2 linked regions of the Yarrowia lipolytica genome follow. The protein of the gene in region 1 binds, or shares a complex with, the protein of each later gene. Links are inferred from orthologs where the notes say so. Each region holds a gene or a part of one and is shown on either strand. Other genes may lie near its edges.

Region 1 (10,741 bases):
GGGCACAAGACTGGAGTTGAAATTGCCAGACGTTTAGTTGCCAGCGCTTTGTGACGAGAACCAACCTCCACTGGCGACCACTGACGACCACTGACGACCAACTGTCCAGAACGACCAACTGTCCAGAACGACCAATCAGCCACCGTTCTGACAACCCATCCACACCAATCTTACCTACCTGCCACCCCTGACACTCACATACACTGTACGAGACACCCAGATACGATATCAGACGGAAGAACGTACCTTAACAGACACACGATACCTTACAGTGAGCGCTGTACCAGTAAAAACACCAACCTCCAGTGCACTCACCAAGTTGCCCAACAGAGATACATCACCAGGCTCAGACACACACTTGACGCAGACAACTAACGACCGTGCACAAACTGCCATTCGACAGACTCAACCCAGATACCGCATCTTTTTCATCGCAATAACTTAGACCCGGTTCATTTCTCTGCCATTACTCGGCTTTCGCACACACAGCCAACCATGCACCCATACTACCCTCCCCATGACGGGTACAACTACGACGAGGCTCCCCGACTGCCGCTACCGCGACTTCACAAACACGACGACCACATGCACACCGTCATGAACACAGACAGGCCCTCTCTCAAACGCTCGGCAGACCAGCTGGACCACACCTCCCAGACAGCCACAGATACCCCCCGCTACTACAAGGCGCATTCGTCGATAGCGCTGGTGACGGACGTTAATCGAGATGCCGAAGGCAATCCCATTGGCCCACCACCCACGCCGACAGCCAATGGCTCCCAAACTCCGCCCCTAGTGCTCCCTCTCACCTTATCGCTACCCCCTCTGGCGGCCGCTGTGCCCCCCAACATGCAGGTGATGCGGTCGGCCAACTCGGACCGTCCCAAAAAGAAGTCCAAGTACTCGTCCGAGCAGGACAAAATCATTCTGAGCATGAAAAAGGCCGGCAAGGGATGGCACGAAATTGGCGAGGCTGCACACTGCGACAACGCGCTGGCCGCCCGAAACAGATACCAGGTGCTCATGGGCCAACAAGGCTCCGGATCGGTCTACTGGGACCCCGAGGACAACATGGGTCTCAAGGCGCTGCTGGACGACGGCGAGCGGGCCAAGTGGGAGTTTGTGGCGGCCGAACTCAGCAAGATCCGCCGCAAAAACATCACCTCACCGGTCGTGCGGGCCAAGGTCAGAGACATGCTGTTCAAAAACAGCATTCTGTTCAAGGTGGTGTTTGAAAACCGCGACGGCCACTTTGGCGACACTTGCATCCAGCCGAGCGGCCCTACAGCCACGTCGACAGCCACGGTCAACTCGTCGCTGTCATCCCTGTCTACCTCCATGCCTGCTCCTTACGCTCAGCCCTACTACCCTGAGTACTACTACGACGAGCAGCAGGTACAGCAGAGCATCCAGAGCGTGCAGAATGTGCAGCAGACGGTCCAGCAAACTGTGCAGCAGAATGTGTATGGACAGACCACACAGGTACAGCAGACACAGGGCCAGAGCACCCAGCCTTTGGATGATTACTCACAGTATCACAAGGCGTATGCTTTCAGGCGATGAACCACGTGCGGGGGCGTAATTCGTTCACGATGACCGAGGAAAAAAGGAGGACATGAGGAAAATCTCGAAAGTGATGCAACTATGGATATGATATGACTGGACAGGTCATGAAAAAAACGGATTTCATATGGGTTACCTACTTTGGCGTTTCTGGAGGGGCAAGGCGGTGTTAGAAAGCAGAGACGGGCGCGTTTGTTTTTTAGCGCCTTGTCCGAAAAAACACCAGTATACCCGGGTGCTACTGTACAAGTAGCCCGGGCTTTTTATTTTAATGTGTACATTTAATGCTAACGGTTTTGTTTTGGTGTAGGAGGGTCATCTACAGCAGATAGTGGGGTCTGTGGCTGTCCAGAGAGTGATGTGGTTGTTTCCTTCGCCCTACACGTAGTGGATGGGGTCTATTCCGCTTCATAAATGTCAGATATTGCCCATATAGAACTCCTCCAATGCGGCATTAGGGGCATCCGTGGACCGGTTCTAGTCCAGGAACTGCGGTCTAAAGCTCCAAGGCGCGCTAGAGAGAAGACCAGAGGAGCTAGAAGGCGGGGTTGGACCAAAGAGGGCTATTGGTGATGGTTATCGGTGGGATTGTGGAGGAGTGGACATAATCGCGAAGGGAGAAGTTGTTACAAATGCGCAGAAAAGGTACAGTGACTGATATTCAAATATTTTGTTTGACAGAGGGTGAAGATGATAGAACCGTTGGAATTGGAAGGGCCCTGTGGACAATTCGGTCTACTTACAGCGATTCTCTTGACGGAAATAGTGATGCCATATAAACGAGTGCGGATTTATCCGAGCACGAGTATGGACAAAAACGTCAGGGTCAAAACAGTCAACATTCGCTCTGGAGTATTGCAGAAGGTCTAGAGAGATTTCCGCTGTCGTCTATCGTTTAGTAAACACCCTATTAACCGTCAGAGTACAAAATGTAGTATATATTGTTCTGTTCCTCGGCATTATACACCTCGTATACATTACTCCATTGGAGTCTATATAGGGCTATATAGGGCCGTTTGGTCTACCGAGTTCAACTAGATAGTCGATAGATGTCTCTCATCACTTAGATCTCTTTCTTTCTTCGATAGTTGAAGAATTGTTGGTTCTGGATGTTCTGGCCAGTGTAGACTTGTGGAGCAGTTACAGTAGGAGACATGGAGTTGAGAAGAACATCAGTAGATTCGTAAAAGATCGTTTTATTCGCCTCCGACTCATAAATGACCTTTTATGTTCGGTTTCGGACTCCAAACTTGCGGCCAAGTATTACAACAACTGTGGTCGGCAGGGCTATATCTGTACTAATACTGAAGCTAGCGGATGAGGGGCGGTTATAAAGAACAACGACTATACCGACAAGAACAACAGCATCCTACTCTCATTCACACTTATACTCCCGAACCCTACGCTCCATCTCCAGCTCCGGTCCCACATACAAATCCACGGATACAACATATGCTACATTATCAATTAGTCCTCCTCTATATATCCTTTTCCCTTCTCCTTCCATCCTACTAGTAGTAGAACAGAGCTCAGTGTAATGACAGCCTTTTTCGTGCAAGTACCCCCAATGTACACCATCAACAAGATCCATCAACAGCTACGCTCTTGGGTGCGCGTGTTACTCATTAGCGGTTCGACCAGCTCACTTACTGCTGCATGTATCCACTCACAGCAGCCTTCAACGTCTGGGCCTTGGCCTGCAGCTCCATGACGCTCTTGAGAAAGATCTCGTCGGGCTCCAGAGCTCCGGAAGACTCGACGTTGAAAATGAAATGGTCTCGTCGTCGGCCGAGCTTGACCTTGCCGTTGAACTCCTCGTGTCTCAGCACTTCTCGCGACACTGTGTCCTTTCTGGCGTCGGCCACCACGGGCTTGCCTCCCTCCAGCTCAATGACGCCCTTGGGGAAACACTTTTGGAACTTCTTGGCCTCGTCACCGGTAATGTCACCGGTGATGGTGATGGTGGGCATGAGTCTGTAGGAGGCGGTGGCCACGGGAGAAAACTTTGCGTGGTCATGTCCGAAACCCAGATGGCAGAACATGGTCAGGTTGATGCTCTGGTTGGGTCGCAGCTTGGCGATCAGAATGTCGGGGTTGGCGACCTTGAACACGTTCTCCAGCCCCTCGTCCTTGACCCACTGGCACTGGTTGCCCATGGGATCAAAGGTGATGTCTCGTGCGTAGATGTGGGCGTTCTTCATGGTGCCGTCGGCCAGTCGCTCACAGGTGACATTGAGCCGCAGCACAAAGGTGTTGGAGTCGTCGTAGTAGTCCTCGATCTCGGAAGCGTCCAGACCTCGAGGCAGGGCGTTGATTCGCTCGGGGTTGATCACCAGAGGCACCAGACCCAGCCGGTGGGCCAGCACCTCGTCCTGGATAATGGAGGTGTTTGCGTGGATGAAAACCTCTTCGACGGCAATGGTGGGGATATCTGCGATCATGATTCGTCGAAAGGCGTTGGCCAGCGACGTGTCGATGCCAATCAGGTCAAAGTTGCTGTAATTGTCGGTCAGGGAATGGATCTTCACCTGCAGGTTCTTGTCGAACTTGTCGAGGTCCCAGGCGTCGTCGGCCCCAGGCCAGTGGCCAGGGAAGTCCGTGGAAGTCACGTTTGTCACTCGATCGGACTCGATGCCGACAATGTTGCGGTTAGCAAGGCTGGTCATGGTGTGGTTTTGTGTGGTTGTAGAGGATAAAAAGGTCGGCAGAAAAGATTCAAAGCTAAAAAGTTTTCTGCAGGACGTGCATGAAGACGGTGATTAGTAATGAGGGTTGAGAGGGTGGAGAGGGACGAAAAAAGAGTTCCATGGTGATAAAAGAGAATAATATAATTACCTGTCGGATTTGGAACCAAACGCACTTTTCAGAATGTTTCTATGACTTACCAGAGCGGAGTTGTACAGTTCTATTCTGAGTGAGCAGTACAGGAACAAAGCCGGATATATTAATTTTATAACCATAATTATATTTTTATAATATTTTAATATATAATGGCCACAACATAACTAAACTGTGGTAACAAACCCAAGTAGTTTGTGAGTAGTAGTAAAGCGGTTAAGGGAGATATATTGGTACTGTAGGAAAAGGCCATATAGCCATCGCCAGTAAGACACAACGACTAAGATGGCGTTTTCAATTGAAAGAAAAATCATAGAGGCCTCGGACTCACTTGGAGTTAGTTAATGAGCTGTTATTGGCCTCCTAGTGACCTACCAGTAATCTCCTTGAAGGGTAACAGGCCACAATCTCTCATCAGGAACTGAATGAGGAGTGTAGATACTATCATTGCTAGATGAATATGTACGTAGTCATAGACAATATGTCTTTCAAGACTTTGGAATCAGGAAGAACCTATCCCTAAAAGTCCCCTTCAGCAGCTTTCAAGCACTACAACTATGTACTGGAGTTCTATAGCACCTAAGACCACTCCATGCCCTTGTAGGGTGAGCCTTTTTCAAACTGTGAATCTCCAGAATCTCTAAAACATCCTTCTCATTCCTTCCCATTGCCCTCATACAACTACCGTCTAAAATACTGTCTTTCTGCGACTGTCGGCCAAAGAAGAATGTGTTCTGGAATGCTCCACTTCCCTGTAGAGTGAATGAGCCATCAAATGGCCATTCCCAGACCCAAAACAACGCACCCTGATGTCTCTCTGCTCGAGCATGGCTTTTAGTTGTATCCCTCCAACTTCACCTCATGAGATATCTCCCTCGCTATCGCTGAACACACAATGGGTTTCGCAATGTGGTGATACTGCCCATCGTCATACGGCTGTGGAATCAACAGCGACTCCCTACTGTCGTACCCCATCGCTACACCTCTCTCACTATCTAGTCTATCATAAATCATCTATTAACTGAATACAGCCACTGACTAGGTCAGTTAAGCAAGGGTAACGTGCCGGGTATTTTAATGTGCTGGGCTAGCTATGTGCAAAGTGCAAAGTGGTCCAAAGCCGACCGACAGTCTGAATCAATCAGACTGGGTCGCAATGTCATGCAGGCGAAAGAAAGGAAGGAAGCGCTCGAGTGGAACTCTTCATGCTTAAAAGTTCGCTGCGGAGTTGGCCCGGTTAGGCGCATGGTACTGGTCAATGTTGGATCGAAACACGTTGGAGTCCTCGCCTCCGCTGATGAGATCGTCCTTGTCGTACATGGGGGTGTCTCCTCCTCGCTTTCGTCGCCACCACCACAGACCTCCAATGACGGCTGCCACAACAGGTACACCAACACCCACTCCCACACCGATACCGACGTTTCGGCCCGTGTGGGAGGTCGAGCCCGTAGACTTGTTGTTGTTGCCAGTGACTCCGCTTGCGGTGGGGGTCTCCACAGGCAGAGTGGTTGTGGACCCGACGTAGGTCACCTTTGTGTTTGTGAGGGTCATGATAACGGTGGTTCGGCCGCCGGACGCGTCGATTAGGGTGGACGACACCACGGCGTCGGAAGTGACTTCAGTGGAAGACTCTGACGAGGGGCCTTCTGTGGTGGAGGGAGAAGGCGAGGCCGAGGACTCTGTCGAGGTAGGAGAGGGAGAAGCAGAGGAAGAAGCCTCAGAGGATGACTCCGTGGTAGGCACGGGGACAAATGCAGACGTGGAGCTCTCAGTGGTTGAGGACTCGGTGGTGGAGGAGGACTCGGTGGTGGAGGACTCGGTGGTAGAGGACTCGGTGGTAGAGGACTCGGTGGTAGAGGAGCTCTCAGAGGAGGTCGACGTAGAGATCTCAGAGCTGGAGCTCTCCGAGGAGGTCGAGGTGGATGAGGGCACAAACCGGGAGGAGGACTCGGAGGAAGTGGACTCGGCGAAAGAGCTAGACTCGGTGGAAGAAATCTCCGTGGATGAAAAGAAGCCCGGGGATGAGCTAGAAGAAAAGCCTCCTGCCTGGGAAGAGCCCGAGTTGGTGGGGATGGAGGAGGTGGCGTTGTTCTGCTGGTTGCCCTGATTTCCCTGATTTCCCTGGTTACCCTGGTTACCCTGGTTGCCCTGGTTGCCCTGGAATTGTCGTTTCTCAACAACCACGAACGGGGGCTCTCTGTGGTCTGTGATGGTGGGGACAGCGTCCTTCTCGACAATTTTCTGCATGAGGTCTGCAACGTTGTTGGAGGTTGCATCGGTGGCGGCGCCGGCCACTAGCGCCAGCAGCGCTGTGGAAAAGACGATTTTTGCGGCGACCATTTTTGTTTTTCAATCTGAACTGGTGTGATGGTCCGTTGTGAGGCCTTGCGGTTTGACTTTCTGTTGGATCTCGCGTGTTTAGATTTTCTTCCGGCTACAAGGTTGTTTTAAAAATAGCCTTGCTTGTATGTGTGTGTGGTTGGGAGACAAGCACTAAGTCGGGAGAGAGAGATGTGAAGTTAGACGTAGGGGGGAACGGAAAATGTGCTTCTGTGCAACGGGGCCGGTGAGCGATATAACCAGAGGTTTTGTACTCGGGGGAACAGCGCGTGCAAGGTCGGTGGTCGGAGGCGGGTATTCCAAGAGAGGACGGGTCACGTCAGGAGTCGATTGTACGATTTAATCGGCTTTAGTGACTGGGGGGAGGGGGTAACAAGTCTCTACTTGTAGTGGTGATTCACGGGTTCACAGTCGTGTCACAGTCGAGGTGTAGCAAGTACTTGTGCGTATGTCGAAGAGTCGGTATCTGTCGTCGAAAACAGGGGAAACGAATCGGCGTCGAAACTGCTCAAGTGAGTGTAAAAGTCTTGTGTGTGAGAGAGAGAGAAAGTACGGGGTCGTGGTCCAGGAGAAGCACGGAGTACAATTCGGCGGCGTGTTCTCGATATGAGAAAAGAGTATCTGGGGTGAGGAAGTTGTCGTGCAACTGGATGCTGGTGAAAAGTCGCGTAGAGAAATGAAAATGCCGGATGAAGAAAATTGCAGCTCCTGAACCGTGGTTTCGTTTTGGTTTGCCGTTTTGCCTTTTTTCCTTTTTCCCTTTTTCCCCTTTTGCCTTTTTTCGTCCAAGCTTTTTTTTTTCGCACTGCGCTGAGCCTGAAGGTTTCTGCACAAGGTTTGGAGCTACGGTGGTGAGGTAAATAGTGAGGGGTTGTGAGTAGGAGGACGATGGTGAAGGGGATGCTGGTGGCCGCGAGGAGGGCACATATATATGTATTTTGGGGATGTGACATGGCTGATGTTGTGATGGGGAACTTCACACGTCAATCTAGCTGCTCCCAAACACTCCCAACCGTCTATATATACCCTCTCATGCCCCCATCAGTACCAGTACGATACTGCACCTTGCCACAGGATTATTCACGTCTCACTGAGAGTCATCGCTCACACCGCGGCAATGTCACATGACAGGATTTCAAGCTGCAAGCGGTAATTAAATTGAATGGCCAGTTAGACGCCCCAAGCGGCTCGTGCCACCTCCAGAGCCAGTCCAGAGCCAGAGCCCCGAAGAGAGTGCCTGCAAGCTGGAATGTTAAGATTCGAGATCGGCAGTGCGAGGGGCAGTGTGAGGGTAACCACTGGGTGGTGAGAACCATCTGACAGGGTCATGGGACTATTGTACAACCGTACAGTCGACCATTGGATGGGCATGTTTCAATCACCTGACTCTGTTGGCGCCAATCAGCCACACCACCGCGGTGTCTTGCACATTTCGTATGCCGGACCATGTGTTTTTTGCACATTAGCTAGTCCGAGGTGGCTCCAATTGTCTCCAGTGCGCTTGACTGCAGCTTACCAACGATAATAATCCGTCGTGTGTGTCGCACGCACTTGGGATATTATTTGGCAGTGCTTTTAAGGAGAGGATTAACGTGTGAGACTCGGGCTGTCAGCGAGATTGCAGCAGTCACCTTCCATCACCACGCACGTTTCAGCCCCAAAATACAGCCCCAGACTGCTGCTGTGGACCACTGCCCCATCTCTTAGCATTCAGGGGGATCTGTAACAACGTTGGTAACGACGGTCGGTCAAGGTTGCGATGCGTTTTTGGTTTTTTCCAGACCAGCAAAATGCTAGGCAGATTTGCGGGCGTAATGGAGCAGTTTCGAATATTAAGAGTAGATAAAAGGATGTTAAAAGGGCAAAAACATATGAGTCTGGTTTTTTCTGGTGTTTTTCCAGTTTTTTCCAGTTTTTTTTCCAATTCTTGGGAATTTTCCAACCTCCAAACAGCCTCCTCCCGTTAACGTTATGACGCAACTTCTGGGGAGTGCATGGATGGAATTTACAACGCACTCGGTCACCTTTCTGGGTCTAAAAGACGTGGAAAGCGCGTTTATCGGGTACCGACGAGCTCGGCGGGGCGCGTAGAGGCCGAATCACGTGTTTGTTTGGCACAATATCCTCTCCCCGTCCCAGCAACCGACGTCCTCAGCCCCCAAAATTACCTATTTATAGCTTGCAGTAGCTTTGCTGTCTGATCCTCCTCCAACTTAACTCAGATTGTGTGAACTCAGTGTGGTTGGCCATGTATTTTTAGCCAGCCGAAATAACGGGTAAATTTACAGTGGTGTACAAGATTGTGCGGACTGAATCAGCCATTTCCAGCCAATGAAATCAGACACCAGAAGCGATGAAAAAAGACGGGGAAACCGCAGCAAGAGTTATGACATCAATCCGTGGTCGCTCTCAATCGGCTCTCTCCGTTTTTCCGACTACAATACGTAACTGTACAGCCGCTAGACCCTGACTTCCCAGGCTATAATTGGAAGCCCCCTAATTAAAGCTGAGCAGTCTAACCATCTGTTGACCCCGATTCACTTTACATGGTTGCTGTGCCGTTTGGAGCGATTTGAGGCGAAATGTAGAGACATGAAGGGCACGGGTGCACCAGTGCTACTCTACTCTACTCGTACTCTCGAATACGTGACTGATACACTCTGGGCGGGTTCTGGGCGGGTTATGGAGTATTGACCTTAGCGCGTAGATTGGGCTAAAAACAGTTTTTTGTCTTATCTCCGAATAGCCGAATGAGAAGCCCGAATAATAGCTGTCTATCACCCGACCAGATCTCTCCCTCTCCATCAATCCATCTCGTTTCCTCTTTCAGCTCGTTTCCTCTTTCAGTTCGTTTCCTCTTTCAGCTCTTTTCATTTTTCAGCTCTTTTCCTCTTTCATGCCTTTCCCTCTTCATCCCCCATGAGTCTTCCTCTTCAGTAACCATGTCCAGCCTTCCTCACCAGCTCCCCGCCAAATTGTCTCAGGTTTGACTTTGGTTCGGAGAAGTCGGAGATGCACCGAAAACAACCAACAATGTACCGCCAACAGCTCCAACACTGACAAAAAAGCTCCCTACGTCACATGGCCACCCCTGCCAAGCATAGCCCAGGCCCGTAGTCTCAGCCACCCCTCCATCTGCTACATGTTTGTGCGACTTGCACCCCTGTCACCCCTCGCGCTAATCGCATGTGAGACCGTTGACTGGGGAGTTCGAGTGAGAGTAATTTGGACACGAGTAAGGGCGCAAATGTATTTTGTGGGCGATGAAACAACCCAGCCCATGTGTAAACGCGTCAGCTATTATCTATTGTTTTTCTTTATTCATTTTCTGTCAGTTTTACCCACTTCGAAAAAGGATGGACCAGTGTACAAGTTCAAGTATATACACTACCAGGTTAGCTCGTATACTGAGACACGAAATGTGCCTGTTCAAAACTGAATCGAGCGGCAGATGACAAGAAGCCGCCACAAAGCGTCTATAAAGCCTTTCTACAAGTACAGTACATACATAGTCCACTCGCAGTTGCTGGCCCATCCTCGGTTGTACAACTACTACAACACTCAGACTAGGCTGTGTACTTGCACCTATGTACTGACCAGTATGTACCAAAACCATCGCAAGGACTACAAGAGTATACCAATATCTACCTGAAAATAAGAATGAGACACCGAACTCAGTCTCTTTTGCTGTACTATGTACTTCAACAAACTCATCAGGAAAGACAGTCCAGCCTCTTACGCGTGTGACTAAAGAAGGCTGGCATTTGCTTTTAGCTACCAGTACGAGTGTAGTGTACTTGTAGCAGTAGACGGGAGGCTACAAAACAGAGGAGAAACCAACAATAGCTCTATATCTAGTATGTATACTCGTACGAACACATTCTACCTCCATCTGGTCTCATGTTTCGTACTTGAAGAGCAAGGACGAAAACAGGGAGAGATGTATGCATACTGTAGACACTCTACCCACAGTGACTCCATAACAGTACAGAATGAACCT
Region 2 (10,200 bases), on another chromosome or scaffold:
TCCCGCAGCTGTGGTGATGTGTAGTCGCGTACCACTTGGTGATGTTGCCTAAGGTGGTTTGGGTTCGCAGTGCATGACCGGAAATGTTAGGCAAGATACCGAAAGAGAGAGATAGTGACTAAAATGGCGGTATTCAGTGCAATTTCTGGAAAATTGAATAAAAAACAGAAAAAACACACAAAAAGAATAAATGTGATCCCAATTTTCAATACCTTCAACTGCTTAAACCCGTTATGCTCGCTAGAATGTCTCCACTGTGGAGATTGTAGATCTTGCTCACACAGGAGGATGATAGGCTTGAAGGCATGGAGGTTTATGAGATTAAAATGAATTAAATTAATGATATACAAGTACACATAATCTCGTAGCAGCAACATTCCTCATGTGCACAAGCAACGGCGGATCTAAGGCGATCTGTAGTCTCGTACAAGCGGTCCGTGTGTACTTGGACGGTGAATACCATAGATACAGTATGTACGTAACAGTGTCGCACCTCAAACCAATGTCTCATGTCTACTCATAGACAGACCGTAATTACTCGACAAACCCGAAAACATGTCTTACTCAACGCCGTTAAAATTTCTCGGCCAAATGGCGGGAACACCTCGTTAATCGACTAGACAAGGTCTCACCGCACATTTGTCTCGGAGCTACTTGCAGCACCACACAAGCACTGATGGAAGTTATGTGGACTTTAGGTGTTGGATTTCTCCGAGTTTTGTCCGAGACAAAGGTCAGAGACTGTTCTTTTTCGTCCCGCAGCGAACTCTTGTAGATCGACCCTGGCTGCTTCAGATACACTTTTTAACGCTCGTTTAGAGGGGCCAGTAGAATTCAATATTGGTAGACAAGGGGCGATACAAAAAGAAGTAATGGCTGCTAGTATTTCTTTTTGTCTGTTTATCCGGCTCTGTGCACTCCGAAAAAAGGGTCCCAGGCAACCAGCTGTTGCAATACACCATCGCCTGAAGTGCAGTGGTTGTATCTTCACATGTTTACACTATGTCTCATGCAACCACTTCCATATGGGGGTAGAACAACAGAGTAAAAGAGTAAAACACGCTGCGAGTGCGCCAACATGGGCCCATGTCTCAGTCTTGGGTGAGATATGTTCCTCCTGCACCTCTCTCGTGTGCAGGGTCAGCAGCAGCCTGTTTCATTTGCTGAGACTCGGTCTCAAGACGAATACGAAGTGCATAGGACGGCTTGAGGAATCAACAAAACTGCAAACAATGGGAGCAAATGGAGAAAGCGGAAGTTGGTATCATTCTCAGTGTATTTGGGCGGCTGCTTCCGTTTGTTGAAGCGACTGAGGGGCTATACACACTGTGCTGTACAAGTACCTGTACACACCGGTGCAGTATGTACTTGCACTTGGTGTAGCAGCTATGGGGTGTGTCAATTGGTAGCACGAAAAATAAATGAAAGTCACTTTACATTCCCTGTCTCTCTACGGGCTACCGGAATATGTATTTTAAACGGCTGACTGAGGTCTATCTGGAGCTCCCGATATAGTTCAATCGCCTTACAAAAGGCTTGAACTGTAGGTAAATGTTCGACTGTTGGGGTTGTTCAGAACACAGTTTTTGCACGGACATGATCAGGAAGTTTAAGAGCACGTGTGGACGCGGATCTAGGGTGGATTTTTGAATAAATATATTTTTATCGAGACAGTCACATTATTTCATGCCCGGAAATACGGTGAATCTGTGTAGTGTGTTCCAGATAATAATTTAATACTACGACACCACGAATCGAACCCACGACACCCAAAACTGCAGCCGTCCCAAATCGTCACCAGGTCACATGATACTTCCCAATCGGGAAAACAGTCACACATGCGTTCACCCAAATAATGAAACTTTTCGACGTTATAACTCTCCAACAAGACTGAACAGTTCAGAAATTGTGAGGAAGTCCATTTAAAAATGGTGAGTATGACAGAGGGAATCACGAGGCCATCTTGGTGAGGATGTCGAGCGATCCAAATGGAGAAACTATGGGATTTGTCTCATTTATTTGCAAGGAAAAATGAAGCAAATCATTGACATAATCTCTCGAGGTCGCTCAAAAAGCATCCAAATCGTTATCCGAACGAAGTCGAAACAAACGACAATCACTCGCTGCCATCATTCTAACCCAGTCTGATTCTGAAGTTATCGCTGAAGTTGAGGTTGCCGCCGCTGCTCCCTCCGGAGGACTTACCCTCGAGGATGCCCTCAAGACCGTCCTGAAGAAGGCTGTCATTAACGACGGTCTCGTCCGAGGTCTGCGAGAGTGCTCTAAGGCCCTTTCTCGACGAGAGGCCGAGCTCTGTGTCCTGTGTGACTCTGTCACCGACGAGTCTTACCTCAAGCTCGTTGAGGCTCTTTGCAACGAGCCCGAGGAGAAGATCCCCCTTGTCAAGGTCCCCGATGCCAAGCAGCTCGGTGAGTGGGCTGGTCTCTGCCAGCTCGACCGAGAGGGTAACGCCCGAAAGGTCGTCGGTGCTTCTTGTGTCGTCATCACCAACTGGGGTGAGGACTCCGAGGCTCGACAGTTCCTCCTCGACTCCATTGCTTCTCAGTAAATGCGTTGCAATCAAAAGCGTAAGCAATAAAATGCCACATGGCTTATTTAATATCTGAGAGATTGTAGACATGTAAGAGTAGCGAGTGATTGGAGATGTGTAATGGCAGTAAGAAAAGTTTTGCATGGCTGTATGTATCGCACATGTCATACAGTACCACAACCATGAGATCTGCTGTGGCACTGATGAATGACGGTCTCAGGATCGGGGAAGACATACATCAACACAGTTGTGTATCAAGGATGTTGTTAATTGCAATGTAGGACTTCTGCGGCACATCGTATTCGCCGAAGAACCTCCTGTACAAGTAGCTAGGGAGACACATACTCTGAAAGCCGTGCACATTCGGGACCCTCTCGGTCAGTGAGACTCGCTGATGACAGTTCAACCAGGGTCATGATCTATGGAACTCTTATCTGCTTCCTATATACTGTAGATGGCCATAGCCTTACACAGCCCTCTACCCGACGATATCTAGCTGTGATAGTGCTTCCTTCTGACACTTCTAACGAGACAAGTGGTGATAAATGTTATACAATTGAGTCTCACGGACGCCACACTGATTATTGATGTACATACTGTATTATTCGCCAGTGTTAGTACAAATCATTCTGGACATGAATTGTGTGTTGGTGGAACATAATTCGGTTTGTACCAGTACATACCTATATAAAAACATATAAAAGATCTAAAAATCTTAATGAAACATGAATATATGATACATTCAGTAGTCTTGTATTATTTTACTGAATAGAAAAGTCAATAGTGTATCAAGAGAAGCCCCTATAACAAAGAAACAGCTCTTTTTTCGAGTTCCTGTTTTGAAACAAATCTCATATCCCCTCTTCAGTTATCATTGACTCTTCCTTTTCCATCATTGGCAGCAGGCCATATCAATGGACCATGAACAACACCTAAAGAAGCAGTTGCAATGGACCAGGGGTCGATAAATTCAAACGCTGAATTTGCAGTCTTGCAGTCAATAGATATAGCTTCCTTGATATCAACTCCACACTTGGTTCTCTGCCCTCCATATACAAGTCCAAGTACAAGTGCTCTAGATATCCCCTCTAGACCATCCTTTTAGCTTCCACCATAGCAAGTATTACACTAACTGTATCGATACAGCATATGTTCCACTCCTTGTGCTTGTAAAAGTACAAGTACTTGCAATAAACCAAAAAAAGAAAGATAACACTACCCAATTCATAGTGCTTATTCATCAATTTGATCATGTTCTAGCTATGCCAACCACCACCGTGTAATCACATCTTGTTGTATTGGCTCTCGTTTAACGAAATCTTGTTGGTTGCACTTGTCATGCACTTGTCATGCAACTAAATGCAAGGTTTCAATAACAGTCCCACTTGGGATATACTGAACTTGATCGAGTGAAAAAAAGTGCTGATAACTGGACCTTTTAGTACTAAAAAGATGTGCAAAAATAAACCAAATAGTATTCAGAACGAAAAATGCGAGTAGATTGGCATACCTTAGAGTACCACATGTAATAATAACTTTGCGAGTAATGGTCGTTAAGTGTCATCAAACTGTAGCTGAAAGGCAACCAATACTCAGGCTGTACTTGTATTGTAGTCGGAAACACCCCGGATGTATTATCGGCAAACGTCTCACAACTGTCTGGCACTTTTATCCATTCATTAGTATACTCGTCCTTCTATGGTGCACCTCTATTGTGATGAGAACATTCATGAGAGACACTAAACACAGTATATACTACAGCAAGACTTTCAACACAAGTACAATACCACACATCTACACACACCTAGGATATACTAAAAAGTGTAGAAAAACAAGCGCTTGAGCACTCATCCCTCCTCCACCTCTCACCGTTAGTTATATATACACTCTATGCCCTCCTTTTTTCTGAACGTGCTCATTTCAACATTGCTTTTCTGAGCTCCCTCGCCTCAGCTCGCTTCTTATCTCAGCTCGCTCTCCTCCTCTAATCACTGTCGCTATCGTCACTTGCAGCACTGTCGCTATCATAGCCAATCTTGGCCTGTGCGGCGTCCTCCTCCTTCTGCTCAACCTCCTTATCTTCCTCCTCTGCCTTTTCCTCGGCAATCTCCTCGATGGGATCCTCGTCTGTGAATTTCGTCTTCTTTCGCTGGGGCTCTTCGCTCACAGCGCCCCCTGACTGTGCGGGATAGGTATCAACCAGAGAACCAGACAGGTAAACCATGTTGGCAGTGTGAACGCTCTTGATGATGAACTCCAGCTTGCCCTCGACTCGCTTGCCAGAGCCGTCCGACCAGTAGCCCATGGACTGACGAACTCGGTCCTTCTTGGCGGCTGTCGGCTGTCCTGACTCAGCAAAGGGAGTGAAGACCCAGTCCTCAGGAATGTTGGCGTACTTGATGGAACAGTTGAAGGTGTCGTGGACAAGAAGACCGATATGAGAAGGAGTCTGCATGTTTACGTATCCCTCCAGACGGTCGCCGACCTGAGGCTTCCACACAAGAAGGTCTGTACTAATCCACATGAAGGTGAATGGGGACTCGTTGACAAACTTGCCCATGACAGCAGAGCCCTCAGAGTCGCTTCCCCGTTTGTACAGCTTGAGGTTGTAATGTGCCAGAACCACGCCGCCCGCAGGAGCAAAGTAGCGGGCCACCAGTGGGTCCAGATGCTGGCTTTTGATGCCAGCCACGGGCTTCTGGCTGAACATGGGCGCCAGAGACACATACATGGAGGTCGAGACCTTGTGGAAACACTCGGAGATTCCGGTGGCCGAGTCGACGGGGTTTTTACGCTTGAGAGCCATGCTTTTCAGCACCTCTTGCGTCTCCGAAATCGTTTTGGCGACCATGACGTTGGGGTGTTTTTGCAGACAGGATAAAATTCCAAATTTTTAAATTTTGCCTTTCCTGGTCACGTGAACATGCATGGTGGGAGGAAATTTGTCAAACCTGCAGCCAGCAGGACGCAGACAGGACTGGGAGACATAGCTGAGAATGATTAGTCAGTTTTATGATGTTGTGGCGGTGGTGGAGGCGGATTAGTCAGCGAATCGATACTGATGTGAAGAAGCACCATGTCGATTATACCACAGCCCGCGAGAAGCTGGTGGTAGTGACGAGGCTGAACGGAGGAGCGAGCAGTTGGTCACAGAGAGTTAAAATAACGCGGGAAATCTATCACCCAATATAGCTGTGTCTGCTTGTAGGAGATGTTAGCACATCTGTAGGTGACTGCAATTGAGTATTCCATCGTAGGAAGATGAGTGGCATGTCTGTAGTAGGGTCCATCAAACAGTTCAGCTCCAACACCGTGAAGAGCGGCGAGAAAGAGTGGGGTATCGTATGGAATCAGGTTAGCGATTTGGCGGATTGACATTGTTGGACAGCGGTCAAGGCTTCTTCACAAGGATAGTTATATGCCCATGTCTTGAAGTGACAAGTTGTGCAGTCAGTTACAGTAATGCACAGGTGGCCCGCTAATGGCATGTCCAAAGCAGTGCATTCGAAGTTGTCCATTCAGACCTTTAGGCTTGTACTCCCGTTAATATTCGTCATGAGCATTAAACCGAAAGTCCACAAACGTCTTCCTGGCCTCATCAACCACACACATACTCTGAACCGACAGTCTCCCGTACACGTCCATTCGCAGACACACCTTTTCACTGACCCCCACGGCCTCTCTGCACTTGACCAGCTCACCAAATAGGTATCCCGATTGTACAATGACGTTTCCCTCTGGATCCTGGTCCGGGTCGTCAATCACAAAGGTATCCAAAACATTTCTCTCGTTAGGATAAGCAATCACGTTGCGTCCAAACTCGCCCGTGCTCTCCAATCTGAAATGAGGAATCGCTCTAGTCTGAGCTATTATCCGCACATACTGCGACTTGGCACCTTCCAAATCACGAAGAGCCTGGGTCAGCAGATGCGCCGACAGAATCACCTTGAGAACCACCTCGCTGGGGTCCAGATTCAGACTCTCCGACTGCTTGTCTGTATCCTGATTCAGAAATTCACACGAAGTCGTAAACTGGTCGTTTCGAAACACGAATTTGAGCGGGTGATCTGGCCCAGAGTAAAGGATTCGACACGTCTGCGATGCTCCCGAAGAATCAACTCTTCGGTCCTCAGCATTACCTCCCGCTTTGTCACTAATCACGTCATTCTTGCCAAACATCTCGAGACACGTGGTCAGCGAAGCTAGAGACAATCTGTAGGGTGGAAAGAAGGCGGGCTCGTCATCAGATCCTTCGGCATCCTGATCGTTGAAGTTGTACATCGAAAACAGGTTTTTCTTGACCAGCACCACGGCCTGACTGGATCTGCTGTCCACATCCACGGTGAACTTGAACCCGTCAGACATGATTTCGAGACTCACATGCTTGGACATGAGCGCAATCGCCTTGAGAATCGTGTACAAGTGCGACACACATGTTGTTGTTCCTGAAAAGAGCAGTGTTGGCATGTGAGGTGGAGTTGATCTGATCAGAGTTAAATTCCAGAGCCAAAGCATGCAAGAAGCGAAGGGACTACTTGTACATGCCACTTTTTTGTTGTTGTTGTTGTTGTTGTTGTTGTGTGTGTCTGTCGTCTGGAAAGAGTCACGTGATTCTCTACTTTTTTTGTGACCACGTGACTACTTTCATTCTACTTCAGACACGTGATATATACTCCGTAATAAATGACCACGTGACCCGCCTGTCATGCTCCATATATTATCCACTATCCAACACTTGTATAACCCCTTTGGGCCGAGGTGCATGTGCGAGCTGGCTGCAGTTATCGTGGTTAGTGAGTAGCTACTGTAGGCCATTTGGTAAGCCAAAAGAGCCGGATTCAGCCTCAATCTCGTGATCCGGGATAACAAGAATATCGCGCACTTCTTTTTCATACACTCTTAACCTGTATCTCTCAATACAGTCAGTGACCGGTATTCGTACCCTTCTCACGGTTTGTAGGAGGGTTCTCCCGAAAGTTTAACGAGAGTCTTGTTTCTGTTGTATTGATGAAAACTGAATATGTGGTAGTCTGATTAGCAAACGGACTACACAAGAATATCTAGCGCGTTTCCTGTTTTCAGATGATACTTTTCCAAACCCCTTATATTCCTCTCCTACCCAAGTCACAACCTCCCGCCTTAGCTGCCGATATCACGTACATTGCGCATCAACAGTACCCCAACAAACCTTGAGTCCCCCGCTGTACCTCACACCCTTGCAACCTCACACTACATCTCCCTGTTACGACCATGGCCCCGCGAAAAACACGATTGCCCGCTGTCATTGGGGCCGCAGCTGCCGCCGCCGCAGTTGCATACCTCGTTTATTCGTTTGTTGCCAAGAGCAACTCAGACCAAGACACATTTGATAGTTCAGTACAGAGCTCGTCCAAGTCCAGCACAAAGAGCCCCAAGTCGACGGCCACCAATAGCAAAATCACCGTCGTGGTGTCACAGGAGCTGGTTCAATCGCAGCTGGTCGACTTCAAGCATCTGATGAGCGTCCATCCCAACCTGGTGGTCATTGTGCCTCCCATGGTTGCCAACAAGTTCCATCGGGCTCTGAAATCGAGCGTGGGACACGATCATGGCGTCAAGGTGATTCGGTGCGACACAGACGTGGGAGTTATCCACGTGATCAAACACATCCGGCCAGATCTGGCTCTCATTGCCGACGGAGTGGGAGACAACATCCAGGGAGAGATTAAACGGTTCGTGGGATCAAGTGAGGCTTTGAGTGGAGATGTGAATCTTGCTGCGGAGCGACTAACTGGATTGTAACGGAAGCAAATGGCCATAGGTCATGAGCTGACAACATCCAGTCTGGTTGCCATGACACTGCCACTCCATTGCGTTGGCCATACTGTGGAAAGGTACCGTTCTGGCTACGCTACCTCTGACTATGCCACCAACGTTCCAAGTGTAGACAGACTGTGTAAATAAATGGACTTATCGTATTGAATGACTGAAATACGTTACAAGTACAACTACAGTACAGTAAGTGATGTGGTACCCTTATGTATCTGTCAGTTTTACTCAAGTAGAATACCTCTGCGCCATTGTGATATGCTCTGAAAAAGGACCTACTGTATTCATTCAATGTGTTATATGTACCGTCTATATCTATTATAAATAAGGGGAGTTGTTGTGCATGGTGTCTACGTCTATCTATCTCCTCTTGCCCGTCATCTTGGTCAACTGATGCAGAATGTTGGACTTTTTGCCCTTCATCTTTGGTCTGCTCATGTCGATATTGTCAAACCTGCTCTTGGTTCGCTTTCTTCTCAGTAAACCGATAATCCACTGCAACATGTACGGCTTGCTGGCAGTGTGGGTAGCGGCGTTGCTGAACATGGCAATCTTCTGCGTCTTATGTAGCTTGGTAAGGTTGAACCACGTTACCAGCAGACCGCCCAGACACGCCACACCCACCACCAGAACCATTCCCTCGTTGGTTTCCTCAATGAAGTTCTCCAAGTTCATACCGTACAGCGCAGCCACAAAGGCCCCGACCGCAAAACCGACCGTCACAATGGTCACCTTGAGCTCCAACAGCATCAGAGCGTTTCGATTCGCGTCCACAATGATGTTGACAATCTCCTCGGTTGATCGAATGTGAGATCGCACGTTGGAGGCTTGTTGGACAATCTCATCGGCCTGCTTGCAGTACGACTCAATCAGCAGCTCGACTTCCGCAAGCCCTTCCTTCGGGTGAGTGCCCAGATACAGCTGCTGTAGATCGTCATCTGACTCCAGTAACTCTTCCAGGACGTCTCGAATCAAAACAGCCTTCTGGTAGAATCGCGACACATTTTTGTTTCCAATCAGCAGCTCCTTGAGCTGTTCTCGGTCCACATGATCTTCCAGACCCACCAGAATCTCGTTCAGGGTCTTAAGATGCACCTGAAGTTCTCCATCCAGAGTCGTCATAACGTTGACCAAAATCGCCTCCAGTACTCGCAATTCAAACGGCAGCACCGTCATGTCCGTATGCATCTTTTCTGGGTTGATTGTCGGCTTCAACTTGTTCTCCAGCTCGTACAGAAACATGCCCAGTCGGTGAGTATCACTTTTGTTCTTGGAATGGGTGTCGAAGATAAGCACCTTGTCGTGGAGAATCAGAGCCTTAATGTGTAACAAGTTGACAAGGATGCATCGTCCAGCTCCCTTGCGACCTCGTGCCAGAATCGAAGGAATAATAGAAACAGGGCTGGGATCAATGTTTCTCAAGTCTCGAGGGTAAAGGCCATGTTCCAGCAGAAACTCATACTTGGTCATTTTGTGTGCAACGTGGACCACCTTGCCTGTCACATCAAAAACCGTGGCCGAGATTTCGCCTCCCAGAACGGCCTCCGAATAATTGTCTGAAAATGCAAAGTGATGAGGGTCCTCCTCTTCCTGGTGATCTTTATGTTCCTCCTCGTCCATGTGTTCTTCGGCGTCGGAGATGTCTTCTTCGGCCGCTGAGTGTTCAGCCTCGAGCCTCTGGTGTTCCTCTCCGTCCTCATGGTTTTCCATTTCATTGCTGTTTCTGTCTCTGTTGAAATCAGGATTTTTCTGTCTCTTGTCATCCAAATCATCGTTCTTTCTGAAAACACTGGCTTGGTGGATTTTCTGAGCAAGTGGCAGGGCGCGAGTTGTTGGTCGCA

The links.
Region 2: YALI1_E28465g (region 1) and YALI1_F09265g share a complex: the UniProt entries of both Saccharomyces cerevisiae proteins name them as parts of the RNA polymerase I (Pol I) complex. The link is inferred for Yarrowia lipolytica from reciprocal best matches to the Saccharomyces cerevisiae genes RPC40 and RPA43.

The regions. Positions count from the first base shown.
Region 1 is NC_090774.1:2,842,304-2,853,044, forward strand, and holds YALI1_E28465g (uncharacterized protein), read right to left. Parts: upstream 4,230-10,741; coding exon 3,210-4,229; downstream 1-3,209. Other genes in the region: YALI1_E28425g (uncharacterized protein), read right to left, coding at 1-187, 235-396; YALI1_E28428g (uncharacterized protein), read left to right, coding at 496-1,563; YALI1_E28439g (uncharacterized protein), read right to left, coding at 1,588-1,659, 1,704-1,769, 3,014-3,154; YALI1_E28490g (uncharacterized protein), read right to left, coding at 5,611-6,741; YALI1_E28491g (uncharacterized protein), read left to right, coding at 6,869-6,874, 6,931-7,131; YALI1_E28504g (uncharacterized protein), read left to right, coding at 8,105-8,161, 8,212-8,448. UniProt on the Saccharomyces cerevisiae protein: DNA-dependent RNA polymerases catalyze the transcription of DNA into RNA using the four ribonucleoside triphosphates as substrates.
Region 2 is NC_090775.1:921,155-931,354, forward strand, and holds YALI1_F09265g (uncharacterized protein), read right to left. Parts: upstream 5,403-10,200; coding exon 4,536-5,402; downstream 1-4,535. Other genes in the region: YALI1_F09230g (40S ribosomal protein eS12), read left to right, coding at 1,929-1,931, 2,144-2,569; YALI1_F09282g (uncharacterized protein), read right to left, coding at 6,095-7,066; YALI1_F09289g (uncharacterized protein), read left to right, coding at 7,802-8,332; YALI1_F09314g (uncharacterized protein), read right to left, coding at 8,720-10,200. UniProt on the Saccharomyces cerevisiae protein: DNA-dependent RNA polymerases catalyze the transcription of DNA into RNA using the four ribonucleoside triphosphates as substrates. Component of RNA polymerase I (Pol I) which synthesizes ribosomal RNA precursors.